Lepisosteus oculatus: one gene and its partners. The protein of the gene in region 1 purifies or fractionates together with the protein of each later gene. This does not show direct contact. Links are inferred from orthologs where the notes say so. Each region holds a gene or a part of one and is shown on either strand. Other genes may lie near its edges.

The links.
Region 2: the proteins of fbxo10 (region 1) and acsl4a purify together in Homo sapiens (affinity purification with western blotting; 3 studies listed by BioGRID, with this or other methods). This does not show direct contact. The link is inferred for Lepisosteus oculatus from reciprocal best matches to the Homo sapiens genes FBXO10 and ACSL4.
Region 3: the proteins of fbxo10 (region 1) and pde6d purify together in Homo sapiens (affinity purification with mass spectrometry; 3 studies listed by BioGRID and IntAct, with this or other methods). This does not show direct contact. The link is inferred for Lepisosteus oculatus from reciprocal best matches to the Homo sapiens genes FBXO10 and PDE6D.

The regions. Positions count from the first base shown.
Region 1 is NC_090696.1:67,256,439-67,267,150, forward strand, and holds the start of fbxo10 (F-box only protein 10), read right to left. Parts: upstream 5,021-10,712; 5' UTR 4,945-5,020; intron 4,219-4,944; exon of another isoform or gene 3,901-4,218; 5' UTR 3,759-3,900; intron 1-3,758. Other genes in the region: tomm5 (mitochondrial import receptor subunit TOM5 homolog), read right to left, coding at 9,163-9,197. UniProt on the Homo sapiens protein: Substrate-recognition component of the SCF (SKP1-CUL1-F-box protein)-type E3 ubiquitin ligase complex. Mediates the ubiquitination and degradation of BCL2, an antiapoptotic protein, thereby playing a role in apoptosis by controlling the stability of BCL2.
Region 2 is NC_090703.1:41,093,124-41,103,215, reverse strand, and holds the start of acsl4a (long-chain-fatty-acid--CoA ligase 4), read right to left. Parts: upstream 4,832-10,092; 5' UTR 4,745-4,831; intron 1-4,744. Other genes in the region: pin4 (peptidyl-prolyl cis-trans isomerase NIMA-interacting 4), read right to left, coding at 7,150-7,308, 9,678-9,797. UniProt on the Homo sapiens protein: Catalyzes the conversion of long-chain fatty acids to their active form acyl-CoA for both synthesis of cellular lipids, and degradation via beta-oxidation. Preferentially activates arachidonate and eicosapentaenoate as substrates.
Region 3 is NC_090708.1:1,879,782-1,890,847, forward strand, and holds the start of pde6d (retinal rod rhodopsin-sensitive cGMP 3',5'-cyclic phosphodiesterase subunit delta), read left to right. Parts: upstream 1-7,013; 5' UTR 7,014-7,244; coding exon 7,245-7,294; intron 7,295-11,066. UniProt on the Homo sapiens protein: Promotes the release of prenylated target proteins from cellular membranes. Modulates the activity of prenylated or palmitoylated Ras family members by regulating their subcellular location.

The DNA of each region.
Region 1 (10,712 bases):
TTCGGATGTCTTTCCCAGCTATCCCAGCTATCCACACTGTGAAACAGGAAGGAGTCTGGGAGACCGTTAGAGGGAACATGACACGGCTGTGAGGATCAAAGATCTCTCCAAGCCCATAGTTTCCCATTTCACCTCTAATGGCCATGATCACACTGATCTCTTCTTCTCCCCCAAGGGGGGTTTCGGAATCCTATTGCAGAAAAACATCTGAAACCAAAATTATCCCGAAGCTAGGATCACACCTTCCCCCTTCTCTCAATGACAGACTCGTTTCCTTCTAATCCTCTCTATTCATGTGTGGGTTTTGACTTCACACCTCTCTTCACCTCTCTCGACTCCACACCACCTGAGGGCCCACTCTGCTTCCCTCCTGCTCCTGCCTCCTCTCCACTCCCGGCTTTTGTTCTCCCATGTTTTATCAACTGCCGATTTTCCTCTGTCTCTCTCACACCTGAAGGAGGCTCCACTGCCGAAACGTTGCACTTCTTTTCTTCTCTTTTCGGCCTGGAAAAAACCTTTACTTGTTCCTTTGTCTGTAATTATTCCCTGCAGGTTGGCCTCCTGAGACCTCAAGATAACGGGAGATTGGATTTGTGGCGCAGTGCTTGACTCCAATTAGCCTAACCCATCAGACACAAAACAAAATGACCGCAGAAAAGGGGAAATCAATTTACAGCACAAGTGTTTTGCTGGCACATACTGTATGGAAACATACTCTTAGTGGACAGCTTTCCAATTTGTACCTCCACTTCTCTTTCATTCTGTTTTGGGGATCTGAGAGAGGTGAACATATTGTATTACTTTACAGTTCTTAGTATTCTGGAGAGAAATAGCAGGACAATTAGACTACAATTTCCTACAAAGAATTTTCAGTCTTCATTTTGCTAAACACATTAAATGGATAGAATTAAAAATATACTTTTAAATACAGGGCACATTCTTTACAGGAATAGAAAAAAACATGAGGCCAATGACTTTAATTACTCATTCATCTGCATATTCAGTAACTCTTGTAAGTTTACCTATATTACACAAAACACTTTTACAATAAACTGACTAAAGAACTAGATGAAATGCTCCATTTCATGGCAAACCAAGATGACTAATCTTTTTTTTTCTCCACAAATTGCACTTCCTATTAAATTACAAGCAGATAAACTTTTTATTACACATTGAACTAACATTAGAAACCTGTACATGCTAAGAGGTGACACTAGAAAACAAAAAAACAACAAAAAAACTCTTATTCCTTATGTTTCTCAACTACAGAAAACGCCTGTCTTCTTTTTCTTGCTTGAGAATCCAAAGGAAAATCAAGAGAATCCAACAAATATGAGCTTTTCACATGTGGGCGGTTTTCATCAATGCTATGAAACTGCTTTAATGGTCTATTCCATGCACAACAAACAAACAAGACTACAAGATCCATAATGCTCTGCTCAGGAAACAGGAAGAAATGGCAGGGCAAGTGCAATGACTGCCACTAGGCAATAACACCTCATGGAAGTTAGTGTAGTGATTTCAATACTGAATAGAGAAAGAATCGTATACTGCACTGCATGAGTGTACATGTATTTCACTGTGTACTAACAAATTGCACTGGGTGGTGGAGAAACAGTTCCAGTATGCATGCTCTAAAAAGCACCTTGTTCAAACTGTGAAGCAAATAAAATAAAATGTCACATGGACCTCAGAGAATAAAAATGAACCCAAGTGCATTGCTTTAAGAAAAGAACTTTAGAACCATAAATCATCTTTATTTTTATGTCTCCATGCCTTACTTTGAACTCCTGTGACCAGCTTGGCCATTGCTCTGAAGCAAGCAGTTGGGGCAGTCCAACACTTCATCCTGATCACACAGTGCCAGCAGCGGTACTGGTGCTGACCAGCTCTCTCCAGCACCCTGTCAACTCGTCGGTGCCCGCCGTCGTGTCGATTTATTCATCACGGTGACTCGCCAAACTGCGCACCAACGTCTCCGCAACGCCTGTCACAATCAGCTCGTGACATAACCCCGTCTCAGGCCAGCGATTTCTGTGCGCATCTTTACAGCTGTTGCCACTTGCGCACGGTACACACTACAATGAAAAACTTCCCCTGCTGTGCATGCTCTTATTTGAACTGTGAAATGTAAGAAACGACTCAACAGATGAGCCCCAAAAATGTTCCTCGTGCAAACACATTGTAGAAAATACCAGCTACACAACATAAAACACTAAAATTTCCCGGGGTGTAATTTCTACAGTAGCTATGAAATACAGCACAACAGTCATTTTTCATTGGACCTTGGAATTGACAGCTATCCATTCCCCTCTTCCACTTGTAGTTCAACATCCTCAACAGAGGGCAGGAATTGTAAGGGAAATATGAAGACGACAGCCTGAATAAGATGAATTGTATTTAAAAGTGAAAAACAGCATCCACCGCTTTTCACAAAGGGTTGTGGGAATTCTGGAACACATGACCCCACTCTGGTGCTGTAGCTGACACTGCCCCTGGCAAGACCTCTGCTCAACCAGCTACTAGCACCCAAACAGTCTACATTAGGCAGACTGAATGGCTTTTCCCTCTTGGGAAACCTCTCTTGCGACCCCAATTCCAACACTGTTTATTATCAGCACCCTCTGCAGACAACAGACTTCAAGTCTTCTCCTGCCATCATTCTACACTCCTTCATGATGTGATCAGGGATCGTTTAAATATTTCATCACGCACTGCCCGATCTACATAAAGTGTAAACTGCACAAACCGAGTAAATAAACCAATTGAATGGGTTTATTGTAGATGCTCCTCTCCCTCTCCAACTCCTAAGAGTGACAACAAATAAAGGTGAACAGCTGAGTCCATATAGAATTGAACATTCACTAAAGCAGGTATATTATTTACTGGGCTTAACAGTCTCAGACATCTTTCATGCACAATGAGAGATGTGAAAAGCATGTTCCTCTTTGTAACAAAGTTCATCCACGTTGGCTGTCTCTCAGTCCTAAATCTAAACTAAATCTAGGACTTATCATAACTTCTGTAAAGAACAGGCCCTTATTTTTTTTTTGCTTGATTGCAGCTATATTCTCTCCAAGTAAATGTCCTTTCTAAATAAGACCCACCTTACAGAAAATATACATGATATCGTCAAGTAGAGAGGGGAAAGCTGAGTGACTGAAGTTACTCTGGTTGTCATCAAGAGCCAATCACACGATTGAACTGACCGTGCAATTTCTTTAAGATAAAACCACAGCAAAAGTGACTCTCATTAAAAACGCCAAAGTGTGCGGTGTTCGGATGTCTTGGTATCTTGTGGAAAGAGCAACGCGGTCTCTTAGTCCACTTGCTTCAGCCTAAGGACTTTGCACAAGAAATGTCCGAATACAACGCCGTATAAACTCTTTAGAGTTTTTTTAAACGAAGACATCAAGCTCCTTGTTGCACGCCACGCAACAAGTACATACCTTAATCTTAATGCTAGATACTACAAGTACTATACTGCACAGTGCAATTCGATTTAAACTGAAAATAAAAATGACAGATCTGGAAACATAAATCCTGTTTTAAAAATAAAAAACATTGTATTGCATACGTTGTTACAAGTCCTAGCGCATTAGAAACACAGTTCTAAAATAACCGTATTAAAAAATAAACATCTGTCCTGACGATGAAGCGATCAAACGTTCTGAAACGTGTTTCTAGGAATCGAGATGGCTGGGGATCTGACTAGGGGACTCGTTCGACAACACACACTGAATTATATAACCCCTTACCTCCCCAGTTTCAGCTCAACGCGGCCGACACATAGTTGCTTAAAAAATGTTTTCGGACCCTCCCCGACCAACTGCTTGCATAAACAGATTTGAAGACACCCGGGGAGGCTGAAATCCTTTCTTCGTCCTCCGTTCTCAAGCTCTGGAAAGCGGGGAGACGAGGTGGTGGTTGGCAATAAAAAAAATAAATGTGTGCTGATCTCCCTTCTGTAGTGTTACGGCCCCCAGAGACCGAAACAGGAATTTGCTGGCGGTGCCGCTAAACTGTTACCGTCTGGCCGCCTGGATCAATGCATAAACTCCGACATTGTGCAGCGGCTGGTGTTTGTTGTTACAGTATCTCGGCAGACGCCGTAGTTCCCGCAGCTGTGCATCTGCGAAAAGTGATACGAGGCTGCAGCTCTTCTTGCGCTAGCAGCGAGCCGAGACTGCAGCAGCACAACGCAGGAGGATGCGTGGGGCTGGGTTTAGCACAGCCTACGTCAATCTCTCCTGCTTTAACTGCCCTCGCAGCCTCCTGGCAACAGGGACGAGGCAGCAGACAGGATAGGGCAGTGAGCTCCGGCTCCACCAGTCGGAGAGAACATCCCCGACTGTCCTGCTGGAGTCCGCAGACCAAAAAAAATAAGGACTCGGCTTTTGTTGATGTCATTTCTAATCATTTTAACAAGCAATTGACGCCATCCGCCTGCAGACTGTAAGACATGCGTCAAGATTTGTATTTTTACATGTATGAACAATACTCAAATGATCTTTTCTAGGATAACAGTGAGACATAAAACCAAGCCCTGCAATTGGAGCTGCGCGGCAGAACTACTCAATGCGTGCTGTGCACTTTTACTCTGGAAATGTGGGAAGTTACTACAAGCCTCGGCATTGCAGAGTGAATCGGAGGAGCGTCTTTATCTCAACAGTCAGCCTGGTCAGTACCTGGATGGGAGACCTCCTGGGAAAAACTAAGGTTGCTGCTGGAAGAGGTGTTAGTGGGGCCAGCAGGGGGCGCTCACCCTGCGGTCCATGTGGGTCCTAATGCCCCAGTATTACTGTAAACAGGCGCCGTCCTTCGGTTGAGACGTAAAACCGAGGTCCTGACTCTCTGTGGTCATTAAAAAAATCCCAGGGCGTTTCTCGAAAAGAGTAGGGGTGTTACCCCGGCGTCCTGGCTAAATTTACCATCGGCCCTTACCATTCATGGCCTCCTTATAATCCCCATCTATGAATTGGGTTCATTACTCTGCTCTCCTCCCCACTGATAGTTGATGAGTCTGGCGCACTATGGCTGCTGTCGCATCACCCAGGTGGGGCTGCACATTGGTGGTGGTGGAGAGGAGACCCCATTACCTGTAAAGCGCTTTGAGTGGAGTGTCCAGAAAAACGCGATATAAGTGTAAGCAGTTATTATTAAATTATAATAATTATTATTATAATTCTGGAGTTCTTAACCTGAGGGTCGCGCAATAGGCAACGCACAGAATTAACCAAAGGTTAACGCACACACTAGGGCGGTAAACGGGACACGTACGCATTTTCAGGATGGTTAAACATCAAAGGACAATAAAAGAGGTTCACAATTAACTATTCCAGTATATACACCAACAAATAGTTTAGACTATTTTCATTAGCAGTGGTCACTCTGCGAGCCCATAGACCATCTCCCGGCTACAACTCCCAGCCTGCTCTGTTCTACATTAATTTCTTTTTTTTTCTTTTGCGCAAGATAGTCGTGATAAGCCTAGCAATGGAGCGTTTTTTAATAGGTGGCACTGGAAGAATGAAAGCTTAAGATAATGTGGAGAAACACACGAATGTGGAGAAACAGCAGAAAACTCCGAACAGGAAAAAAAAACGAAGAAAACGAGAAAATACGACGAAAGGTACCTAAAGGACGGATTTACACAGACAAGTGATGGAGAGGTTGCACGACTGCTATGTGTGGTTTGTGGAAAGGAAAGTCTCAAGCCCCTCCAAATTGCTATGCCACTTGCAGACCAGACACTCGACCTTGCAGTCTAAACCTGTTGAGTTTTTTTTTTGAACGAAAGCTACAGGAGCTAAGAGGCCAACAATCTAACCTCCAAAAGCCACCACTGTGAACCACAAGGCACTTCAGGCGTCTTTCGTCATAGCTAACTGGATTGCCAAAACTGGGAAGCCACACACGTTAGGTGAGACGTTTTTCTTACCGTGCGCTAAGGAAACGGTTTCAATCATGTGTGGGGAAAAGCGCTGCAGAGCAGCTAGCAGTGATACCAGAGTGAAATTATACCGTGTCTAACCGCACTGGGCGTATGGCAAGAGACGCGGAAGAGCAGGTGATCGCTAAGATCAAATCTAGTGTGTATTGTTCTTTACAACCTGGCGAGACCACTGATGTCTCCGGAGATGCACCAATGCTTGTTTACGCCAGATTTGTTGAAAAGGGGAGACATTAATGAGGATTTATTGTTAAGTCGTCCTCTTCCCGAGCGTGTCACTGGCGATCAACTTTTCGTTTTGTCCGTGGGCATGAAATTGACTGGAACACGTGTGTGGGAATCTGCTCAGACGGTGAACGAGTTATGACTGGCAAACACAGCGGGCTAGTCACGAAAGTACAGGTCATTGCTCCGTCCGCTTTGTATGATTCATAGACAAGCCCCCCGAGCTCAAACAAGTAATGGATGAAGCTGTACGTACTGTAAATCCCATCAAGGTCAGTGCAACAAGCGCACGATTTTTAAAGATTATTCCAGAAATTAAGCATAGGATGACTGGAGAGGCAGCCTTTTGCTACTACGCATCCAAACTGTGGAATAGTTGAATATTTCCTAAAAACATTAGAGAGGCTGGCTCTGTGGATATTTTTAAACGGCAGCTCAAAACATATTTTTTTTACTCTTGCTTTTACTTGATTTTTCTTGTATAATTTCAGGGCTATTTGTACTGTTTGCACATGGTTCTCACATTTGTTATTGTTGCTTGTTTTAACTTAATATTTTGTAACAAGCACTTTGAGTTGCCAAAAATTGTATTGTATGCTATATCAATAAAAATATATATTTTTATGTGAGTAGGCTTACAGTTGATACAACATGACGATCCCCTGATCTACTCTAGGAAACATCAGTCGTGACTTGAAGGCAGTGTGCACCAAGTAAATCTCATCTCACCCATTCCTTGGGGTTCCATCAGAGTTCACATCCACAGGTAGTTTGATCCAGACACACATAACAGCTAGAGAGTAATAACTTCCCTTTATAATAATAATTGCTTACTTTATATAGCACTTTTCTGGACACTCCACTCAAAGCGCTTTCCAGGTAATGGGGATCCCCTCCACCACCACCAATGTGCAGCCCCACCTGGATGATGCAACGGCAGCCATAGTGCACCAGTATACTCACTACACATCAGCTATCAGTGGGGAGGAGGACAGAGTGATGAAGCCAATTCATAGATGGGGATTATTAAGAGGCCATGATTAGTAAGGGCCAATGGGAAATTTGGCCAGGATGCCAGGGTTACACCCCTACTCTTTTCGAGAAACACCCTGGGATTTTTAATGACCACAGAGAGTCAGGATCTAGGTTTTATGTCCGAAGGCAACACCTTTTTACAGTATAGTGTCCCCGTCACTATAATGGGGCATTAGGACCCACACAGACCACAGGGTGAACGCCCCCTGCTGGCCCCACTAACACCTGGATTTCAAGAGCCATTGTTCAGCACCTTTTTCTAAATCTCCAGCTTCTCATGAACAAGGAAAATCATTTTAAGACAATAAAGAGCTCAAATGAGGTAATTTAGGGCTCAGGGGGAAAGAAAAACCAGAAACCATCTGGAACTTCAAGACTGATTCCTCTGCTTGAGGAACACATGCTCAGGAATTACTCAGTGATTTTTAATTAAAACACATAATCCCTGTTCAATCATAACAGACCTAACTAATGGATACTGAGGGTTTTATACAGGTGGCTTTAGTCACCTCCAGTAGAAACACCAGTGCAATGTAATTAGATTAAGTAGTGGTTCCTAGGATTAGCTACAGTTAATCAGCTAAGAGGAACCATGACTCTACCAAAAGTTAAAAACCGAGGGGGCGGAGTGGTGGCTCTGTGGCTAAGGATCTGTGCCTGTGGCTGGAAGGTAACCAGTTCAGTTCCTGTGGCTGGCAGAGGAATCCTACTCTGTTGGGCCCTTGAGCAAGGCCCTTAAACCCAACTGCTCCAGGGGCGCTGTACAATGGCTGATCCTGTGCTCTGACCCCAAGCTTCTCTCTCCCTGTCTCTGTGTCTAATGGAGAACAAGCTGGGGTATGCGAAAAGATGAAATCCAATTGCAAGAAATTGTATAGGGCTAATAAAGTGATTATCTTCCTCTTAAGACCCTTGCAAGGATTGAAAACGGACAATCACCGCCGTTCCGCCGTTGTTTTAACTTGTGGAGTGTTATTGTATGAGATGTTTTCCTTTTGAGATGTGTTTTTTTCCGGAATAAAGTATATTTTATAAGAAAAAAAAAAATCTTCCTCTTAAGAGCAACTCCAGTCTTCTTAAAGTAGAAAAACATCTAATAATAATAATCAGAAGTGATTCTACACAGAGAATCACTGCAATTAAAGAGAAAGTTCAGTAGTACAAATACATTGATATTAAACTCCTCCGCATGTATTGAGAGGGTTTAGATTCTGTGTGTAAAAAATTATGTAATAACTGAGTATTAATAGTTACTTTCACATTTTGGGTGTATTTGTAATATTAAAGGTTGATTCTGAACTAAAGAATTACAACAAATGAACAGCAGCAATCGTAAGAACCATTTTTATTTTGACTTGTGGTGCAGTGAGTGGAATTTAAAATTGCTGCATCAGGCGAGGGCTGGAATCACGTCCCCTTCGCCGTCAGAATCGGCCGACACAAATACTCACACTACACTTCATGGGAATGGCGTTACGGTCAAATAACGCCACCGCGCAGGAGGTTTTAAAACAAACAAAAGCTATCCCAAAGAAAAGGATGCTGGATTCACCCCTCCTTAAAAAAAAAACCCAAATTAAAAAAAAAACTCATGCTGTTCTGTTATATTTCACTCGTACGCGAGATGGGGAAATATTTTTAAAGGGTTACACATCATTGGGTAATTGACCTGTATTAACAAGAATACATAAAATCAGCACACAAGTCCTGCAGTGTTGTGAGAGTTGCACAGTGTTGAGATCCATTCATACACATGATGGGTATCGCAGCCTTTAAACAATGAGGTGACGATAGAGGGCAGAACCAGATGTGTAGCCCAAGCCAAGGACTGAGCAGTCCTGGTGATCTCTGGCAGCATTGCCGACATGTTCCCGGTCCAGCAGAGGCTCCGCGCTGTTGTCTTGAGCTGCCGCAGGGAAAGACCTCCGCAGGCGGGAGAGCGAGACTCTTCAGATGCTATCCAGTTTCTTCAGGACGTAGGGCGCTGGGAAGGCAGAGGGGGATGGGTCAAGGCTAGCACTCGTTTGAAAAACATGGAAAGAGCTGAGGAAAGTTCCTCAGTGTGCAATTCAGAACTGAAACTCACATCATGAGAGTAATCGATTGCCGGCACCCTTCAACAGTCTTCTCACAGCCCACAACGACTGTCAGAAACTGCTGGAGCTACTTATCAGTGTATTGATAATTCCTTACACTTATATAGTGCTTGGCTGGAGACTCCACTCAAAGCGTTTTAAAGGTAATGGGGACCCCTCCACCACCACCAATGTGCAGCATCCACCTTTACTATCAATCGGTGAGATTCGCAAGTCGCAATAAAGCCCAATCCATCATTCAGAAAGACAGCCATCCCAGCCACAAGCTGTTCTCTCCCCTGCCCTCAGGGAATCGGTACCGCACTGTTAAAGCAAGGACCACTAGACTCTAGAACAGCTTCTATCCCACTGCAGTGCGCATCCTCAACAGCTAACTGCAGTACCTTAATACACATCTGCACTACGCAGTTTTTACATAGTCTACCATTTGTTTCTGGTCTCACTAGTACATATTTATTTATTTTTCCACAACATATTTATTGTTCCTATTGCCAACATTGCGTGGTGTGTTGTCTGTTCTACTGTGTATGTCCTGGCAGATCAGCGCGATTAAGAAATCCAATGTACATGCACATATGCCAATAAACTACTCTTGATGATGTGATGGCAGTCATAGTGCACCAACATACACTCACCACACATCAGCTATCAGTGGGGAGGAAAACAGAGTGATGAAGCCAGTTCACAGATGGGGACCATCAGGAAGCCATGATTGGTAAAGGCCAGGGGGAAATTTGGCCAGGACACTGGGGTTGTTACCCCCTACTCATTTCAAGAAACACCCTGGGATTTTTAATGACCACAGAAAGACAGGAGCTCTATTTTACATTTTATCCAAAGGAAAGCACCTTTTTTACAGTACAGTGTCCCCAACACTTCGATTGGGCATTAGGACCCACACAAACCACAGGGTGAGCTTGGTTTTACGTCTCCTCCAAAGAACAGTGACTTTGTTTTCAGCATATTGTCCCCATCACTATACTGCAGCATTAGGACCCACACAGATCGCAGGGTGAGCGCTCCCTACTGGCCCCACTAACACTTCTTCCAGCAGCAACCTCAGCCTTTCCAGGAATCTCCCATCCAGGAAGTACTGGCCAGGCCCACACCTGCTGAGCTTCAGTGGGCTGCCAATTGTGAGCTGCAGGGTGATATATTGGCCAAAAAACTACAACCACTGTTCACTGTCAAACAGTTAACCATTCTAATACGAAACACAAAAATGAGCTTCAACACCATGTGCCACTCTAAAGGCTGGAACAATCTAGTATTGCCAAAGACAATTTAAAATTTGTTAAAACAAGGTTTAATTGAAACCAATCATGTTTAAAGTTTTGCACTTCATTTGGGTGCACAAGACTGTAACAGATTAAGCTTTGAATAAAATCACTATAATATTTTAA
Region 2 (10,092 bases), on another chromosome or scaffold:
TGTATTTAATCCTGGTAACAGAACAATACTGAGACAAACTGGGAAACAATTTACGTGGAACTAATTTAAAGGTCCCACACTACTGCATTTTAACTAACAGACGTATGAACCATATTTTCCACAACTCCACCTTACTTCGTGTCTAAAAGCTCATGTTTTCCAGATCTCCAAGGTACAAACTAAAATACAGAATTATCAGAATGTTGTAAATAAGGACTGATAATTCTTCTTAAACAGGAAAGTGGGCTCTAGCTCTGTAAAGTTCTATAAACACAACATCAGCAACAAAGTACAATCTATCGACAAATCTTAATGTAGAAAATAAGTAATTCTACATATAGGCCTACAAAATTTGCATTTCCCAAAGTTTCGCTGTAATTATCCGATTACTGTAAATCCGATTTATTTATATCCGTTTACAATGAAATGCATCTTAAGGGAAAACAAGCCTTATTTGTTTGTGTTTTGTAAATACACTTAGGCAATATGTTTTTTGCATTTTCAGTTATGTATATACCCTACAAAAAAACACTCTGTGATGGTACCTACCAATTACTTGCCAAAAATTCAAATTTTTTCCCAATATTCCTTTGTGCTAAATACCACAAACAAATCTCAATGTCAAACACAAGCACAGTTCAAAGACAGCATGCAAATTGAAACAACCATTTACCTTTCACGGAAGAATCCACAGAGGCATTTAGTAGTCTTGCCATGCTAATTTACTATTTCACCAAACATGTCAACTGAAAACTTGAAAATATCAGGTTGTCTGTACTACACACCTACTCCAATTTGTTTTTTTTTGCAAAAGTCCTAATTTAGACTTACATTTCCAATGATTATGTATTTAATGCTTAAATGTAAGGGTTAGGCTTTTAAAGTAAATTATAGTGGGATTCCTTACAACCCCTTTCCCAGCCACCTCTTCTAAACCCAACTTTAAGTATTCAGCCCTTTGTAGGATAAAACTGAAATTACACTTTCAAACGCATTCAAGGATAGCTATTTGTCTGTGCATGACATTACTTTTATATAGGCTATAGCCGAAAGCTGCATTTCACATCAACTCCCTCGAAAACACAAATATGACACAAGTAACAATGTTAAGGGAACAAAGAACGACTGAAGAAATATTTGGTTTTGATTTTGTTTGAATTTGTGTTGCTCCAGGGACTGTGAAACATTCTCACTTAACAATTTAATCATGCACATCATTTAACGTGTACGATTAAGTCAAATAGGAACAGCACCACGCTTGCCAAATAAAGCTTGAATATGTGTTTGTAGGATGTATGTCTTGAATAGAGAAACAAAATCAATCGAGGGTTTGGAGTCTGGTATTACTGTAACGGGCTCTGAGAGGACGCATAAGGACTTCCAAACTGTCTCGGAACTGCATCAGCATGATTGTGTCAACGAAATGTAATAGTATTTTGGGGCTGACTACAGTAAACACGGTAACCCACACTTTTGCCCAAGTTAAATAATTAGGACCCATCCAGCAATCACAAATTCACAAATCCAGTTTCTGTTTGGTAGAAAGAAAAAACGTCTCAGGTAAACCAAGCCCATCATCAAGCCTATGTTTTGTCATTTGAGAGTGCTGGACAAGTTAAAGATATGATTTAATTCAGGCATTGGGTCCTAAATATATGTGGAAAAGCACAGCAAGGGCATAACTGTGCCTTTAGAGTTTAAGCAGGGATCTTTTTATCTCCCTTAGCCAGAACGAGCAATAAAACAGCCAATGTACTGCAACTCCATCACCTCCAAGAACAGATCCCTATGTCTGAAAATATATCCCATCCTATTTCAATATAAGGTCTCATATGTAATCTGAGTAATCAATAGCACACCATCTCTTATTTCTCTGCAGCACTGTACTATCTGAAGTAGCCAATTATATTGGAGCTCGTGGCTCACACCACTCTGAGCAGCTGCTGTGTCACAACAGGTGGAAATAAGGAGACAGCTCCAGAAACGTTAGGCAGATTATCAATGCTAGTCTTTCTAGACCGAAAAGCAACCCTCTTTTCCCCCGCAGCTCTCTTATCAGGAAACATCCACAGAAATTATTTAATTGTTGATTTATATGGTCAACAATAACATTACTAGCTAGTTTACAACTGATTGCACTAAGTCTGCATCCATGCTGTTCAATGATGCCTGAATCTCACTACACACTAAAAGGCTGATTGTTCAAAACATTACCAGCAAAGGTTTTACTACCATGCAAAAGAAACATATTTAGATCACCCTAAATTTCCTACAAATAAAGTGCTACAGATAATGAAGGAGGTTTATGTACCTGTATAGCAACTCCCTGTCTGCATTATTTTTTATTAAAAACATGCCTATTTTCTACTACATATATTCAATTAAAATAATTACATTTGTTTTACTATAATGATGTAAGTGGCATTGGTCTATCATGAATGTTATTATTTTAATATAGTTATGAGTTGGAAATTATTTCTGTTCCCATGAACAGACCAGAACCCTCATAGTTACTGTCCTGGTCTTAAAGCAAATGGGTTTAATTGGGAAAATTTGTAAAATCAGCAGAAAGGAGATTATATTAGCATAGATTAGCGTGTATACTGAGAAAGCTCGTACCCTCCTAAGAATTAAAGAATCTAGGAAGTCCACGACAAAAAAACAACAACAACAAAACAACGTGATGAAAAAGTCACAAGATATTTGAAAAGCTATTTGATAACCCACTGTTACAACAATAGAAGATGTTGGCCTAATAAATAAAATCCAAAAGGAAGATGAGGTCTTGCCGCTGACGTCAGCAATGTCACCGCCGAACACACCATACACCCAGAACCAACCAGCCGAAAGCGTGCATGACGTCACAGGTCCCTCCCTCCCTCCCTTTTTACACGCAACCCTTAACCGAAAGTAACCTCAGCTCGTTGTGGGGGTGGGTGGCTAGGGGGAATGAACTCGTTGACTCCCGACTCAGAAAAGCAAGAAACAGTAGTAAAACGCTTCCAATAAACGCCAGTCGTAAGGGACTATACATTGTATACAAACTGACGGATATATGATTTTTGTTTCTTATCGAGTATAGTATATCAAAGGTCCGCTGACATTTGGAAAAGCATTAACGAAAACAATGTCAAAAATCTGAAAAAAGAACAGGGTTTTAACTACCGCTCGTTAAACATATTTCCGAGCCATCTGTTCTATTTTTAATAAGGTAACCCCACATGCGCCCCATCGTCACTATAGAAACGACATCGTCGGATGTCTTCGTTCTATTACTGTGCTGCTGGATTCAGCTAACAACTAACAACTGATAGGGTAGCTCTGTCTGACAGCAACTGTCATTCGTAAATTGATCTGCTTTTAATTTAAACGTAGGGGGTGGGTTTGTGACAAGGAGAGCTGTCTCATACGTCTCGAAATTAATGGCGCTTGATCAGGCCGCCGTAGTACTTGTCTTTTTTTAAAAAAAACTCTTACAGTTTATCTTAGAGTTTGCATGGTCTTTGAAAGGCTTTTCTGTCTTTAGTCATTAGTTTCCCCTTTATATGAAGTCGAACTAGATCTAAAACAAGAGCATTGCCAAACTGTACCATGATAGACCTTCACATGACGTGTGTTTTCCGAGATCTAAGGGCAAAGTATTAACTTCACGCAGGAGATTAATTTTTAATCGAAAGCGTTATAAAACAAATTCCAATCAACTAATTTTAAGGGTTCTTTTTACAGGAAAACGGTGTTTACCGACAGGAAAGCGACGTTTCTTGACTCAATATTCCTAATCCGACTATATTATAGAACACAAAAAAAGGGATTCAAATATGGCTATCACCTACATCGCAGACTGGACCCGGTGTCACTTGATGCACGCAAGATAAAGGGTAAAACTATCTGGTAACACTGTCTTTACAGATCGTCTTCGCTCATTAACATACCAAAGATTTCATTTAAAATCAACAATGGTCACCTTTTTCCCCAAGAAAAACCCGTAAAAAATTCGAATCAAGCTACCGATTCCTTACAATTCTCGATAAAATCTATTTCCTTTTCATCACGACCGTTTAGATGAATAAAACATTATAGGGCAAACACTATCACTTCTGTTGGGTACCGTATTCTGATCCCCTAGAGCTATCTACAGCTATGAGCGTTAGAAAACAATGCGTGGACAACAATCACCTGTCTAACTATTAATTTCAGACTACTGCGCGGACAGCATTGATTATTTTGAAACTGTCACGCTTCTCTTGCCAGAGGCGAGGTCCTGATCATGCTTCCGGTATGTTATTCTTAACGTGGCGCTTTTTCTTCTTGCAGCGGCTAATGATGGAAATACATCACGGAAGCGAAAATCACATTAAGAGAGACGCATACAACTAGTTTTGGTAAATCGGGTTTAACTAAGTGCTCCCATCACTTTCGTTTTATTTATTTCACAAAGCCAGTCAAGATATGACCTACCTGTCTAATCGCTAAAACACGTTAGTTCTCGCTGTAGACACGTCCCAGCACACAAGAGGAACTAGTACAGTTACGGACACGTTTTGCTTCCTCATGAGGCAAGCACGTTAGGACTACTGGATGTTTTTAATGTAAAGGCGTGAGATAACTTTCGCTTAGCTTTTCGGATATATTAAATATTGTTGACAGTTAGGTATATTAGGCTAATACAGCAAATACACAGTAACTAGCCATGACAGTAGTAAAACTAACGAGAGCGTTAGTGACAGCCGGCTTTAATTCTTACCTGTGACACGCCGGCCAAGAGCTGCTTCTTTCTCTGAACGAAGAAATGTTTGACCGAAAGTAACCTCTCACCTTCCGGAGAAAACCCGGAAATAGGACGTCATCTGACTCCATCCTTTTGTAGCCAATAGCCGCTGACATAATGGCCACACCTTCAACGAGCCTCGCTAACCTTTTTTTTAAAGCATTGCAGGAGGCGGTAACGTGAAATGCAGAATAAATGCGTTTTGGAGGAGCTTTCTTTCATGAAAAGAGCTCTCGGATTTTTGCACCTCATTTTTCATCTCTCACTAAACTGTTTCTCTTCACGCGCTTATAAAATATAAAACGACGTTAAAAGATTAACGAAAATCTCTTTATTTCTGCAAGTGACCCAGATCCATGAAAGGCAGAGAAACTTGGTACAAACGCACAGTTAACCGTATGTTTGCCAGAATGCAGCAGACAAGAGCTCCCATAAAATCAGACGAAGCTCATTTTTGTATGAAGCGTAAACTCGATTTCTTCCTCCATTATGTAATTCACATAAGGAGCTTAAGTTTAGCCAGCAGCCTTAACACTCTGCAACTCACAACTAGTAACCCACTGAAGCTCAGCAGTGTGAGCCTGGTCAGTACGTGGATGGGAGACCTCCTGGGAAAAACTACGGCTGCTGCTGGAAGAGGTGTTAGTGGGGCCAGCAGGGGGTGCTCACCCTGTGGTCCATGTGGGTCCTAATGCCCCAGTATAGTGACGGGGACACTATACTGTAAACAGACACCGTCCTTCGGCTGAGATGTAAAACCGAGGTCCTGACTCTTTGTGGTCATTAAAAATCCCAGGGGTTTCTTGAAAAGAGTAGGGGTGTAACCCTGTTCAAATTTCCAATTGGATTTATCAATCATGGCCTCCTAATAATCCACATCTTTGACTCTGCTCTCCTCCCCACTGATAGCTGGTGTGTGGTGAGCGTTCTGGTGCACTATGGCTGCCATCGCATCATCCAGGTGGATGCTGCACATTGGTGGTGGTGGTGGTGGAGGGGAGTCTCCATTACCTGTAAAGCGCTTTGAGTGGAGTGTCCAGAAAAAGCACTATATAAGTGTAAGCAATTATTAATTATGTTAGACACATCTGCTTTCCCTTTTATCTTTATGAATACGTACCTCCATAGTATGCACGTCGCATAAGTAGTATGTAGTAAAACAAAAACTATTTAATAGCCTCTCTTTAATGCACAATATTAAGTAATGTTTCTCTTGGAAACTATCATTACACCACAAACTATCATTACACCATAAAAAGTAGTGATTTATATATTAGACCATATTATATATCTGGTCCATGTTTTATTTAAAAAGATTACTGTTGCAAAAATCCCAATAAAGATACATTAAAACAAAAAAAATATTGTTGTTGACAAAAAAAGTCAGAACAGGTTTTAAAGTTCCCAAGAAGTAATAACTTTAATAAAATACTCAAATATCTTAAAAGGCAGATTTCATAAGAACTAATACAGAATATGAATATGTAGTCATATCATATCAAAATGTAGCCTCTAATGTCTGATTTTTCTATGTTACTATAAAAGATAATTAAACATGTTATAAGTGATGTTGCTCGTAATGAAGTACTAACACGAATATGCAATCCAATACTGACCTTCACTCTAAATTTTACTTAAAGTGAATGTGTCTCCATACACTACTTATGGTCCCCCAGAACTGAGGTATCATATGTATTTGTTCCAATAAATCAAATATATGCATGGAATTACCCAATAATAAAACATACATTGTACTTTTCTTTCATTTTAATCCCAAGGTAAAAAAAAAAACTGTTTGACTCTAAAGCAAAAACAAGTTTTGATCTTGCTGCCCTCTCAAGACATCAAGGAGAGCACTATACAAAATAGATATAAAAAAATTTCCCCAAACATTCCAGGAGTTGTTTCTTAACAGGACGAAGAAAGTCATGGAAAATCTACACAAGCTGTTTTTTTTTACTGTTATATGAAATGCAGTGCAAAACTATTTTTATTTGTCACAAAAGTCCTCCCATTTTATGCACAAAGAACACAGTCACCTTTTCCCATTCAAAATCAATCTGGTACAAGAAAAGAGCAGTGAATTTACTGGGATTTTATTTTCCAAATCAATCCCTACCCACACTCATTTTCTTTATGTATCCAAAGTGTTTTACAATTGCATATGAAATCAAAGCAGATTGTGTTTTTTAACAGCTATGAACGTTTTCCTCATCGTGATGCTTGCATGTAACCACTTCTTGAGAGTTTTATGATGGTATTAAGATTTCTACATCAAACAAGCAGTATCTCTATGAGTTCTGAACTCCTCTCCCAAAAATAAATAATGTTTTAAAAAACAAGGGGATGATGCCCAGCTTGATTCTTCAAATCCTGAAGCATTATTTCTTGCCCTCCACCATGATGATGTGATACCCAAACTTGGTCTTCACTGGCGGATCTGTGTACACAGGCTTGTCCATGGTGCTGACCGGCAGGGCAAAAGCTGCATCTTGAAAAGGCCCAACCATAGAGCCTCTGGTCATCCAGCCCAAGTCCCCCTGTCACACCCAGAGGAAAGACCAGCTCAGCATTTATTGTACAACTGGACAGAATTCCTAACCAAAAAGCTCAACTTAGAAAACTGTCAGTAATCTGCACTGCAAACACAGGACCATGATTATACTGTACCTACCAAAAATGTAACAAAGAAAAAACAAGAATATGTAAATTATACAGGAGCAACATAAACTGTGTCCATAACATTATGTGAAAGCGATTCTAAGGTATAGAGACGTTGAAACAATGTTAATGGCTACTGCTATTCATAATTTACCATAATATACGAGATTTTTATTCATGTAAATTTAACACTAAAATACTGTAGTACTGTATACAATTGAGAAGATAATAAAATTGAGAAAATACACCATCCAGTGACCAAAAGTGTGAATAAAAACCAGTATTTACAACATCACTTATCTATATGTAAATGGGACAATGTCTATTCAGCTTTTACTAGTGTATATGGGAGTCTCAATTCCATCATGTGCTCTGCACATTTACTGCTCATACAACCCCATCAATAGGAAAGACCAAGCGAATTCTGTGAAGACTCTGCTTCATCCTCACAACAAAAAGGGATCAGTATGACTTTTTTAATCTGTAGTTTGTAAAACGGCTTTCTTTTTTCAGTTTTTGTTTCCTTTTGCAATTTCACCAATAATAATTTACAAGATGATTTTTACCAGACTGTTGTGTACAGGTATATTAGGTAAGCAAAGACATTTTCAATGAGGCAACTAAAGGGATAAGAAACTAAGAGCTGGTTATTGCACATCTGAACAGCCAGTATTGAGAATGCTGCCACACTGTAAATAAACAGAGCTCACAATGGAAATTATTTTTGGAGTGAGAACTGGATATGAAAAGCTTCAATATTGATTCTTAAATTCACAGTACACAAATTTCAGCACAACACCTGACACTACGGTTCTTCCAAACATTTCACCCATTACTCATCCACAGTGAAGAAATGGCTTGGTCTCCTACATCTACATGTTTTTCACCCTAAATAAGATACTGTTCCAAAATTTGAGAACCATTCAATTTAACTGACTTCACCTTTCTTTCTTTAGAGTGTATGGTGGAATTGGCCCACTTCTGAGAAGTGACTTGAACGTACCGAATCTGGTTCATATTAAATTAGCCATGTTCAATACATTAATTTAAAAAAATTAACATCTCCCATGCACTGAAGGGAAGTTAGCATTAGACTCTTATAGTGGCGGTGAGAGGCAATGACTAATAAAAGACCAGTTACAAAAAGTGCAGTGAATAAAGCCTTTAATTAGTCATGCTTACTTTTTTTGTGCAGAAGGGGTTGGGATAAAACAAATTACTAAATATAATGTTCATGGACTGCAAAACTATTTATTAATTTGGTACTTTCACATATAGTAGCAAAGGTATGTGTGATTTTATTATTTCAGTTAGGGATTATAATCTATGTGCTGTTCTTTCTATACTATTATAATCTAAGGGCATTCTATCCTCTTAGGTTAGGCAAGCAGAGAGGAGGCCACACTATATAAACACAGCTGCTTTGGAGATGGTCAGCAGCATCAAGTTTTTGGGCATTCACTTCATCAATAATCTGACTTGGTCCCGTGACACAGACGAAGTAATCACAAAAGCACACCAGCACCTCTATTTCCTTAGACAACTCCGGAGATTTGGTATGTCTTCACAATCACTCACAAATGTACAACAGAGAAAGCATGTTCACCAGATGCATTACAGTTTGTTATGGTAATTGGTCAGAACACAACCATAAAAAAGCTACAGAATGGAACTCCTCTCCATTCATCCCATCTTCAGTACACACTGCCTCAGAATGGCAGATAATAGAATTAAAGATCAACACCACCCTGGGCATGCCATTTCTTCTATCTTGTGGCAAAAGATTGAGGAGTATAAAAGCCCAAACCTCAAGTTTTAAAGAAAACGTCTTTCTCGGCCATAAGATTTCTTAATACCACCCCTTAATTCTCCTACTTCCCATTTATACCCCTTTATTTTTGGACTGAACTCACAACACTGTCACTACCTGTTTTTTGCATATTACTACTAATTGAATGCTGCTGAAAATTACAGTTGTTACTTTTCTCATGTATACGGCTGCTACTGGTATTTTACACTGCAGCTTTCCACTATCTTTTTGGCGTACATGCTTTTTTTTATGTTCTGGTCTCCAACAATTTCAGATGCCATCTGTTATGTGTGGAAACACACATAAAGTAAGCATTTAATTGTACTCAGGTACAAAAAAAATCTGAAACTTGAAAATCTGGAACTCTGTTGCTGTCTACAGGTATTCTAATCTGTCATTTGTTTTAGCCCGTCTCATCTAGATGCATTTCTCACTTACTCCTTGTCTCGCTTTGTCTTCACTGTATTGTGAGGCGACTTCACTGAACCGCACCCCAGACTTCAGTTTTTCCATGGCCTCCATTGATTTGCTGTGTTTTTCACAAAGAATATGTCGGACCTGAAATAAATTATAAGTGTGTGTGTGTGAGAGAGGGGATCAACATGCAAACTACAGTAAACTTTAGAAAAGTACAGAAAGGGAATTCTTTTTGGTATTATACTGCCAATCGGCTTTCCCAATACAAACATCTGAAAACACTATCACAAGATCCCATGAAGTGTTTCGTAACATATTTATTCAACGTTGCACAAGATTTCATAATCATAAGATTATTCTTGAAGCATTCCATTGTTAACAAAGTTGGATGCTTTTTGGCAATTTGACGCTAGGGAGGTAAACACCGAGTTATAAT
Region 3 (11,066 bases), on another chromosome or scaffold:
TAATAATTGAATAATCCACAGCAGTTCTCCTCTTAGCCAATAAGTGAAGATAAGGCTGCATGGGTATTAAAAGAACTTACGGTATTAATAAAAAGTGGATCAATATTCTTCTGTTCTGCCGTGTTTTCCTTGATTCACACACACAAGCTCAAGACAGTTCCAGGTCTGCCTTCCTCGCTGTGTGATATATGTGCCATCTGGTTTTTCTTCTCTTTTCTGAAAAGGTGGTGCGCATATTCCAAGCAGGGGCTTAATAGAAGTTTAAATCCACGTGAAAAAATTACTGATTCGCTCAGCAAACAGCATGACCTTTGTTTGGGTGAAGCTTACGTAAAAAAAAACAACGCAAGACACTTCCAGGCGCAGGGCGACTGCAGACGAGCGGCCTGACTCCAGCAGGCACCCCGGACTAGTCGGCGTGCGCCAACCCCGCTGGTGCCCCCAGGGCAGAGCGTGAGGGCGGGGAGCGCTGGCAATGGGTCGCCTGAACAGCCAAGCGCTTCTCCCCCGTTGGAAAACCTTCCCGAGGTGGGATGAGCTCTGCTTCAGATCTTGTCTACAGGGTTACACAACAGCACAAGAACCGTGAATTGGGGATGATACAATAAATCCCTGACACTTTGTTTCCTCTGGCTTCGAAAAAAGAAACAGGCCGGTTCCTGGCTGAAACCGAAGCAGAGGAGGACATAGGATCACCACTAGGAGGCTGAACCCGTAACAACAAGAGTGATTCGAGCAGGAGGCAGGCAGGGGGGTCCAGTGCTGCTCCTGCTCCACCCCACTCCACCTCAGCTCTTCGTGGCCTGAACCAGCTGGAGACTTGCTCAATTGGACCCAATTGCACTGCTCCTTCTCCTCGGGTTCTGCAGGTTTAAAGACTCCTCCGGGTTCAGGACTTGACACCCCTGGCGTAGGGAAATTGGGGTCTGTGAAATACGACTTTGGAAATAGTTGTTTGTTTATTAAGAGCCACTCTGCGCTCCCTCCTTCAGACCTCCTTTCACCTGTCCGTTACTGAGTCGAGTAATTGAATGTTGTTAATTAGCAAGTGCAGGTATCATCTCCTAGGCTACCACATAACGAGAAAGGGGGCCTTTTAGGTAAATGGATGCTGTTTGCAATAAAAATGATATGGCCTCTTTTTAAATTAAAGACAGTCACAGCACTCTAAGTGTGTGCTGTAAGGTACTTCTTTAAATCAAGCTGAATGGATCACAGCTCAGACGGTGTTTTATCTCCCCCTTGTGGCCCGCTCACGTCATTACAACACCCGGCTGTTCTGCGTTTTCCTGTCGCTTCTTGTTGAAAAGACGGGTTTTGTTTCCCGCGACTCTCCTCGGTAGGCAGGACGTGATGTAACACGATTATTAATTTCTCTCACTGGACTCTAAAAACGTGAGATTTATATAATATAGAAAGGAATACAAAATATTGAAAACCTTTAGGGGGCACGTGTCAGTTACTGGTGAAAAAGCAAAGCACTAGGAGTCGGATTTCCGCTTTTTACAGTCAAACTTCGCTCCTTGGACTATAAGGCGGCTCTAGAGCGGTCAGTGAGAGAGAAACCACAGCGCTCTTCTTCCTCGCAGCGTTGCGTGAGATTTGTACCACAAGGGGGCGCTGTGCGCCGTTATCGGAATGAACAGGCTGCAGCGCCGTGACACAACGCAGTTTAAAAATCACCTGAGACACAGAATGATCATTTAAAGTTCCTTACACGTATAGAGCGCTTTTCCAGTAATGGGGATCCCCTCCCCCACCACCAGTGTCCACCCCAGCTCTCAGTGTGGAGGAGAGCAGAGTGATGAAGCCAGTTCAGAGATGGGGGTTATTAGGAGCCCATGACTGGTAAAGGCCAGGGGGAAATTTGGCCAGGACGCTGGGGGTAACACCCCTACTCTTTTTGAGGAACGCCCTGGGATTTGTAATGACCACAGAGAGTCAGGACCTCGGTTTTACGTCTCATCCAAGGGACCTTTTTACAGTACAGTGTCCCCATCACTATGCTGGTGCATTAGGACCCACCCAGACCGCAGGGTGAGCGCCCCCTATTGGACCCACTAACACGCAGGAGTCTCCCATCCAGATACTGACCAGGCTCACACTGCTGAGCTCCAGTGGGCTGCCAGCTGGGAGCTGCAGGGTGACAGAGCAGTGTTACACTGTATTTGCATTATTCTATATGTAGTTAGCGTTAATGTTAATACTTATAATAGCAGTAGTAACAGTGTCAGAATCAGCAGGTGTGCTAACAACAGCACTCACGGTGGCACCATTAATAGTATTCATCTGGCTGAAACCTTGAACCAGGACAATGCACGAAAGTTACAATTGTTGACCCTCACTAACAGATTCAATAGTCAGTTTCACAGCAGGCAGCACGCACAGTAGCTACACTGCGCAGTAAATTGATTTCCGGTGCTGCTTTTATAGCAACACATACAGTAAACTATAGTAAATCAGAGAAATCAGAAGACATCATCACTGGAGTCGGTATGTTCTCACTGACAGACATGCGACAGTATTCTGTTCTCTGCTGCCAATCACACGGTGGTCTTCTTTCCAGACGTGGGTTTTATAACTAAGGGCTTGGGAGTGAAGAGAGATCTCAGCTCGTTCGTGTCCGCACTCGCCAGCCTTCAGGTACAAAGTGCAATAATACCTCGTGAGGCACAGACCCATTTAATTAGCTGCCTCTAATTTAAAATCCACAGCCTAACAGTCTAAGAAAAAATAACTCGTTGCATTAAAAACTACAAGTCCACAATATCAGGGACCCAAGGTTTTTTTTTTTGTTATTTTCCCTGATAAATGTTTTGCGTGTCAGACGCTGACACAATATCTCTCTGCTGCTCAGAAAGAGCGGCGCTTGTCAGCGCTGCGGTGAGGGCGGGCGGCCTCTCTCCCGGCTCCCACCGGCCCACGCGTGACTCGCACCACAGCGCCTCCTGAAAGTCTCGACCTCTCTTTTCCCGCTGCCACGTGTTCGCCGGTCCACACAGATGAAACCGTTTCTGCACAGGTATTTAGCACGACTCTGCACGGAGGGAGTCTCTGCTTGAAAGGCTTACGGGAGGAAGGATGTCTACCCGTTATGCCTACCGGCATGACGGCGCAGCAACATCCCTCTGCTGTTACTGTAACATTAGTTTTTCAGAGCAAACATTAGAGCAAACTTCGTTACTTCCTTCCTATTTTTAACGCACACCAGCGATACGTCGGGAAATTAAACAAAAGGGAAAAACGCGATTTCTGCAAAGGAATCAGAGCAGGTTTACTAGAATATGCGAGACGACTGTTGGGGAAGAACTCGGTTCACCCGATTGAAAGTCTGTTCTGCAGTGAGAAGCCAGGCTCAGGAGTGTGCATCAGCAGGCAGTCTCTGCAGGAAGCCCTGCAGCGCCCCCCTGTGGCGTCCTGCACAGGGCCAGGATGACACACTGGGCGCATCGCTGTCCCTGCAGCGGGAGGGCTGGGGCTCCTGCTGCACAGCAGCTTGAGCTCATGAAAGTTTAACTTTGCCGCAGGCATGTCAGACGCCAGTTACTGCATTGTGGACAGACTTTCTGTGTGCTTGTCTTCTTCTTTGGCTTAGCAGGTGTGCCCCAGTATAGTGACGGGGACACTATACTGTAAACAGGTGCTGTCCTTCGGATGAGATGTAAAACTGCAGTCCTGACTCTCTGTGGTCATTAAAAATCCCAGGGCACTTCTTGTAAAGAATAGGTGTGTAACCCCGGCGTCCTGGCCAAATTTCCCATTGGCCCTTACCAATCAGGGGCTCCTAATAATCCCCCTCTCTGAACTGGCTTCATCACTCTGCTCTCCTCCCCACTGAGAGCTGGTGTGTGGGGAGCGTTCTGGCGCACTATGGCTGCCGTCACATCATCCAGGTGGGGCTGCACACTGGTGGTGGTGGAGGGGATCCCCATTACCTGTAAAGCGCTTTGAGTGGAGTGTCCAGAAAAGCGCTATATAAGTGTAAGCAATTATTATTATTATTATTATTATTATTATTATTATTATTATTATTAATAATAATAATCAGTAGTGCTTCCCCCTGCCACAAACCCAAGAACGCCACTCGGCCCGTCTAGTTCATCCAGCATCCATTTCTTGAGAGGACCCAGGGTACCGGCTTCAGCACTACGACTGGGGGTCTTGTTCCACACTCCCACACCCCTCTGTGTAGAGAAGTACCTCCTGTTCTCTTCCCTCGAGTGTCACTTTTCATTCTGAAAACCTTCCACTGGGTGGACCTGGCCGATTCCCAGAACTGGGAATACTCTGTAATGTTTAGGTTATTCTGAAGCCCCCCTCTGCTGGGATGGTAGCCTGTCTGCGTCTCTGTTGGGTATTTGCTGGAGGTCACGTCCTCATTACCATCAGCTGAGGAGCTCCAGCTTGCCTATGTGTCCTAATCTACAGAGACCTACAGAGACCAGAGACGTCTTCCGTAAGCAACGTCGACTACCAGAGCCTTGCAAAAGCTCTCTCCTGAGACTTTTATTGATTTATTTGTTTTATTTTCTTCCTCCTTGTGTTTTGGATTTGTTCCCTTTAGTTGTTTTTTGTTTTGATTTACAGTTGTCACACAGGTCGGGTCCCCAGAAGATTTCCCTTTCGTGTTTTTTTGTGTTTTCGGTTCTATTTCGGTTTTATTTTTGACGGGACCAGAGCGTTTATGTGGGACTAGTTATTTTTACTTACCCTACTAACACTGTACCTGCCATTGTTAATATTAAACTATGATTATTTTTGAAGGCTCTAGCGCTGTCTGCTTGTGTTTTTATTGCGGCTGATTGTTAGTCACAACAGGCTCACCTTCCATCCCTGGGCTCTCAGTCTTTGTATCAGGTTCCCTCAGAGTCTCTTCTGTTCAAGATTAAACAGCTGTAACTTCAGCTGTAACTGTGGGCTGGTCCAGTCTCCATAAGCTACAGAATCTCCTGGCTTCACCTAGACAATTTAATTACTTAATGGGATCTATAAACTCTTCTCCAGGAGTCTACAGTGTGTTTCTTATGAGAATGTTGCTGTTCAGTTTGCCAGGGCTGAGAACCTCTGGATAGGACAGCAGAAGACCCCAGAACCCTGAACCCTGACCTCTGGCATCTGATTGGTTCAATTACGCGAGTTACGCTTCCAATTCTTCGTTTTTTTTCTGTTGGCCGCCTGTAAACTCACTGTGTGAGGTGACACCTGACCCAGGTCTGCTGCTACCTGCACCAGGTGTGTCTGTGTGACCGTCGCGGTTCCGTGCGGGGTCGTGCCCTCCGCCGCCCGTTCCGTCCCGCAACACCTGGGGCTCAAACCCGGGTCTCCGGCGTAACACAACAGAGAAGCAGCCGCATGAGCTAAAGGAGACCTCCCCCAGCCCAGCCGGCTGAGGTCCCTGCTACGCGCAGGGAGGGCGATGAGTCACCGTGCCCGAACTCGCTCCGCTACATCTGTGCCAACAGTCCTGCCTCCAAACCGACATTCTGTCCCACAGCGAGGCATGATGGGGGAAAGGCCAGGGCTGCTACTGCTTTACGGTCCTGTGCAGGCACTGGGCAGGATGGGCCGACACTCTCCGAAGTTTAGGTAAGAAGCGCAGGAAGGCTCTATCTACGGGCCCCGTGCTGAGCAGGAGCAGGTGAAGGTCTATTCCACGCTGAGAGGAAAAGAAAAGGGATGCTGTGGAGCCTTCTTCAGGTGTGTGCTCCTCCAGGTTGTTCCTGTGCAGTCTGCACATGCTGGCGCAGCTCCCTACTTGAACTCTCTACTGGACCGTCCTGTGTCACAGAACAACAGTGTGTTCGTCCCCGGGTCTGATGCTGCAAGGCCTGAGTCCAGACCAGGAAAGATGAATATACAGCATATCTTCATACCTGGCAGGGCAATGACACCCTGGTCTTTAGAGTTCAGAGTTTTTATATATTTTATTTCAGAAGCTTAGAACATTGTAACAAAGCAAACAAAAGTTAAGAAACAACGTACAAACAAAAACACAATAAAAACAAAACAAAACAAAACAGACAGACAGTGAACAAAAGGCTCAGACTTTTTACAGTTCTCTTGCCAAGATAAGTCTAAAGTTTCTACCTCGGATTTGATCACTTTGTTTGGAGTTCAGCAGCAGAACTCCGAAGGCACCAGCTGACAGACCTTGTGCCGTCACTCATAAACCGCGGTGCTCTTCTCGTGCTCTAGGGGCGATGAGAAATCGAGCACCAGACGCCCTTCTGGAGCCCTGCTGGAGTTTGTTCCTGCTAGATCCTATTCCCTCCTGTATCTGAAACAGCTCTATCAAGCAGTTCAAGCAGGAAGCCTTCTTCAGGTGTGAGAAAGACAGGGCAGACAGCAAAGATTAAAAAGCACAGGAGAACAAAAGCTGGGAGAGGGGAGAGGCAGAGAGGCCACTCTGGAAGTGCACAGTGTCTCAAGTTGTCTCTTCCTGGGACTCTCCAGCAGTTCAGCTGCTTCTCGTTTTCCACAAGCCCTCAGACAAAGAGAGATGGAGGACTTTATTGTGAGTAAAATTGAAACAATTCTAAAATTACTCGCAGGTTTATATGGTGTGGTTTGTTTATGAATTAAAACAGTGTTTTAGCTAGACAGATACTTTATGAATCCCGTGAGGGAAATTGCAGAAATTGTATTCAACTTACATACCATTTTAGTGACCACCCACAGATGGTGGTACTCTATCTAAAAACACAGAATATCGCCTTGCCCGTGTGTTCTCCATAACATAGACCTCTTCCAGCAATGAAATTACAACACAAGGATAGAGAGGGGATCCACTTTATTAGCTACAGTTAGTGTGCAGGACCCAGGAGGATGAGCTGAAACGCCAAACGAACTTTGTCTCCTACACGTTGCCATACAGCCGTAGCTAGGTGACGTCACGTTGCTGAGGGTTGCCATCGGTGACGATTCTCGCCTCAAACCAAAGCCCCTCCCCCTCACCGGACCTCTCCGCACGGATTGGTTCATTTTGTGCCCGCCCCCTGTTTTCCGCCATCCGTGCGGGCGGATCAGCTGTCACTCACCCACAATCTATTTAGGCTAGGTTGATTAAGGGATCAGAGAGAGTGCTGCTGTCGAGATTAAAAACGGCACCTATTGGCCTTATACGTGTAACCGCTGCCGTTTTATTCATTTTCCGCCGCGAGTTAAAAGTGCAGCGGCGACATCATTTAGCTGTTTGCTTGTAGCCGTCTTCCCGCCGGACGAGGGACTTGTCGATTTCCAGGAACATGTCTTCACACGAAGACAGAGCCAAAGAGATTCTCAAAGGATTCAAACTGTATCCTTTCGCTCAGGGATGCTGTCTGCATTGAGCTGATTATTTTTTTTTGCCGGGGTGGGGGGGAGATTAAGATCTCACCTGGTGTGCAGAAAACAAGACCAAGGGCTTAGTTTTGATGCCAGGGGCAGCTCAGAAACGCAACGATGCGCGTTTCGCCCGTGTCTTGGGACGGGTGCTGGTGGGGCTCGCCTCCTAATATTTTGCGCGATTTCATGCACCTGGGTGTCCTGTTAGGGGGGTGGAAAAACGCGATTTGGGGGCTTAAACAACCGTCTGGCGTCTCTCCTGGTGATCATCGTGATCGGGGGAGAGGCGTTATGCTGGTGGTCGTGTCTGTAGCGCGGCTCCGCGTCCCGGCTGCTGGTTTCACAGATCGGGAGACGTGTGTGTGTGTGTTTGCCGTTGTTGTGCGCTGCTAGATCTAATACCGTCCGTAAAAACGTGACTGGTTTGATTTTTTTTCTCTCCATTGTCGGGCTGAGAAAGGGGCCCCGTGTCCCCCCAGGCCGCGGAGTGATGGGCACCGTCCGGCGCTGCTCTGACAGGAAAGTAGGCGGCACGTTTTGTTGTTGTCGGTGTGTGTGTTGTGAGTGCCGGACGCTGGCTGCTGGTCAGCGGGTGAGTCCGGTCCTGTCGTTATCCTCAACCGGCTCCCGGGCGCCGCAGCTTTCGCGATGAAACCGAGTGAACTTCGGTAGCCCGGGTTCTGCCTCTGCTGCAGACCTGCACAGCAGTGGGAGTTTGTTTTGTTTTTGTTTTTTGTTTTTTTGTTTTTCTGCTTGTGCACCGTTTCCCCCCCCCAATCCGCAGTCAGCCGGCCTCCAGCCCCTCACTGGGCTGACCTGCACCTGTACCCTGCGGGGGGGAGCTGGTGAAACCCCTCCAGTCTGGAGAGCGTGTGTGTGTGTGTGTGTGTGTGAGTGAGGCTCTTGGTGTCTTGTGATTAGCTTCCACATTGATTTCTTTTTGTTGTTGTTGTTGTTGTTGTTGTTGTCCTCCCGCCGCTGTAACAAGTGTTTCGTTAGCCCCTCGGTCCGCGGGAGCCGTCCCGATCCCGGATCTGGTGCGCCTCTCCCCCTCCAGCCCCCTGTCGGCCGCCTTCCTGCTGATGGGGGCTGGGGACTGACAGCTGGCCGCCTCGCAGGACACGGGCCGCCGCAGGTGGTGCCTTTGGCATCAGCAGGGCTCGGGTGGAGGGGGGGCGCACGGAGCAGTCTGGCCGCTGGCTCCCCCCGGGGTGCGGCGCGCAGGAGCTGGCGGCTGGCGCGTCCTGGCCGTCAGGGCCTGGTTATGCGTGTGACCTTCCCGGGGGAGACGCTGCAATCCCGGGCCGGTAATTCTTAAATCCTTGGTTTGCAAGGGCAGGGATTTGGAGAGCTGCAGCAGGAAGCGCCCCCGCTTGTCACTGCGCTGGGTGCAATCCCGTGCAGAGCTTTTCTTTTCCAGAGCGTCTTTCTCTTTTCCCCAGAGAGCCTCGGCCGGGCCGACGTCGACGTGCCCGTCCTGGGGAGGGGGAGCGGCTCTGCCTGCGGGGCAGTGCCACTCGTGAGGGCCCCGAAGGGCCCGCTCTGTCTCTCCGAGAGCTGTCGAAAATGTTTGGCTTGAAGCAGAGCTTGGGGGGGAGGAGGGGAAGCATTTGTGTTCTCGAACTCTGGGAGACCGGGGAGAAATCGGACTCTGAAAGTCCGGCGGTATCGAAAGGAAGGGGAGCATCGGGTCCTTTTCGTCTCCGCTGACCCGGCGCCGCTGATGAAGCGTCTTTTCTGGACACAGGCGGCCACCGGCAGCGTGTCGGAGCCTGCTTCTCTCTGAGCTCTGGGTTGGGTCTCTGTGCTCCGTAACGGCTACTGCCTCCTGCTGGCACTTGGTCTTTCAGGGCCCTTCACTGTGCTCGTCACTGGCGTGCAGGAGCTCAAGAAGTCGACACTGATGGCTTTAACTGCGGCCTGGCCGTATCGTATCTGTGCCACCTGCTGTGCTTGGTTACCTCTACTGGTGCCGTTTTTGTTCTTGAAGTTCGGAGAAGGCTCAGGCCTTAGTCAAAATTCTCGGTATTCTAGGAAGTAAGATGTTACCTTGCTGCATCGTGGGAGACTTTTCCTCTCGGAATCTGATCTCATCCCAGCTAACAGGAGCAGCACTATGACAAGGGATGCAATGTACTGTGGGTCAATTTGAGGGTTGAAGAATAATAGGGCTCACATGAGGCTCAGCTGGGAGAGAATCCTGGCTTCTGCTCAGTACCAGCTACACCATCAAATTAGTATGCCGGAGTGTTTCTTGGGTGGTTGTTTTACTGTGAAGTTGGAAAGATGGTATTAGACATCTAGTCTCTGTCAAGGAATATCAATGTTCATGTAACTGTGCAGAGTTTGGTGTTGAGAGGTTTTAGTTGGGTATCATCATGTACCAGTCTAATTGTTTTCCAGTCATTGCATAATGCTCCATTAATGTTTGGAATATTTTTTTAATACTCTGTATAGTTTAGTTAGTAAGAGAGGTTTTCTTCTAATGTGTTAGTGAGGAAAGTTAATGGATGCATTTGTAGAATATTGTATTGTGGCCGGCCTTGAGATAATGTTCAGGGATCTCCTATTGAGTTGTTTTGTCTGCTGTTGTTGAAGGAGTCTGTAGGGTCACTATAGTGCATCTTTGCACCAAGGCCTCTAAGTTTCCGTGAACATGAACACAGCCTCCCCCTTACAGTCACCTCTGTTTCCCCTCTGATTTTCTTGTAACAGCAGTTTACCATTAGAAAGGCCTGGCAAACCTCATTGGCTCCGTGTGTCTGTGACTGACTCTCCCTGGAGCTTGGCTGGCTCTCCGTGTGTCTGTGACTGGCCCTCCCTGGAGCTTGGCTGGCTCTCTGTGTGTCTTTGGACTGGCTCCGTGTGTCTGTGACTGACTCTCCCAGGAGCTTGGCTGGCTCTCCGTGTGTCTGTGGACTGGCTCTCCGTGTGTCTGTGGACTGGCTCTCCCTGGAGCTTGGCTGGCTCTCCGTGTGTCTGTGGCTGGCTCTGACTTCTGACCAGAGCATTAGGAGCGAATGTGTGCAAGAGGCAAGGTGTGTTCTGCAGGTTCTGTTTTCGGGCAGTTGAAGTTTCTGTTTCTAAGGAGGTGCTCCTTGGCCCTGCTGCACCTCCTCTCTTCAGCAGTGGCCCCAGCTTGTCCTGCGGTGTTCAGGGCAGGCAGCCCGAGTCCTGTTCTGGGGGTCTCGCCGTCTTGTGGTGCTTTATCAGCTCTTATTTACCATGTGTTGGCTTGGTGAGTGTCGCCTCCATCACTTTGGAGAAGCGTGATTGTCACAAAATTACAGCCTGTACCCCAGTCTTCAAGGGGCCAGCACATTTTGTACACTGAATTAACATGGCTAAGAAATATACTGTAGCATGGCATGGACATTCAAACATTGCAGCAGTCTCCTGCAGGTCTAAGAGCTTCTCCAAGTTCAGTAATGCAGGATGGCTTGCTGTGTGTGTTTGTGCCAGCCTTGGTCGGGAGGAGTCGGGGTGAGAAAGGCGAGAGGAGATGAGAGGAGGCCCGTTTGGCTGTTACTACAGAAGCCAGTGGCTAATAGATTTAAGGCTCATCCATTGCTTCTTGCGAGAAGCCAGGGTATCAGCTTCAACAGCATGGCCGGACTGCTTTTCCCAAGTCCCATTGCCAGCAGGGTCACGCCTCTGCTGTTCTTGGCGTTCTTGATATCGTTCCCACCGGCGTTCTCTGCTGCATGTTTCACTGTTGATTCTGCAGACGCCTGCTGCGTTGA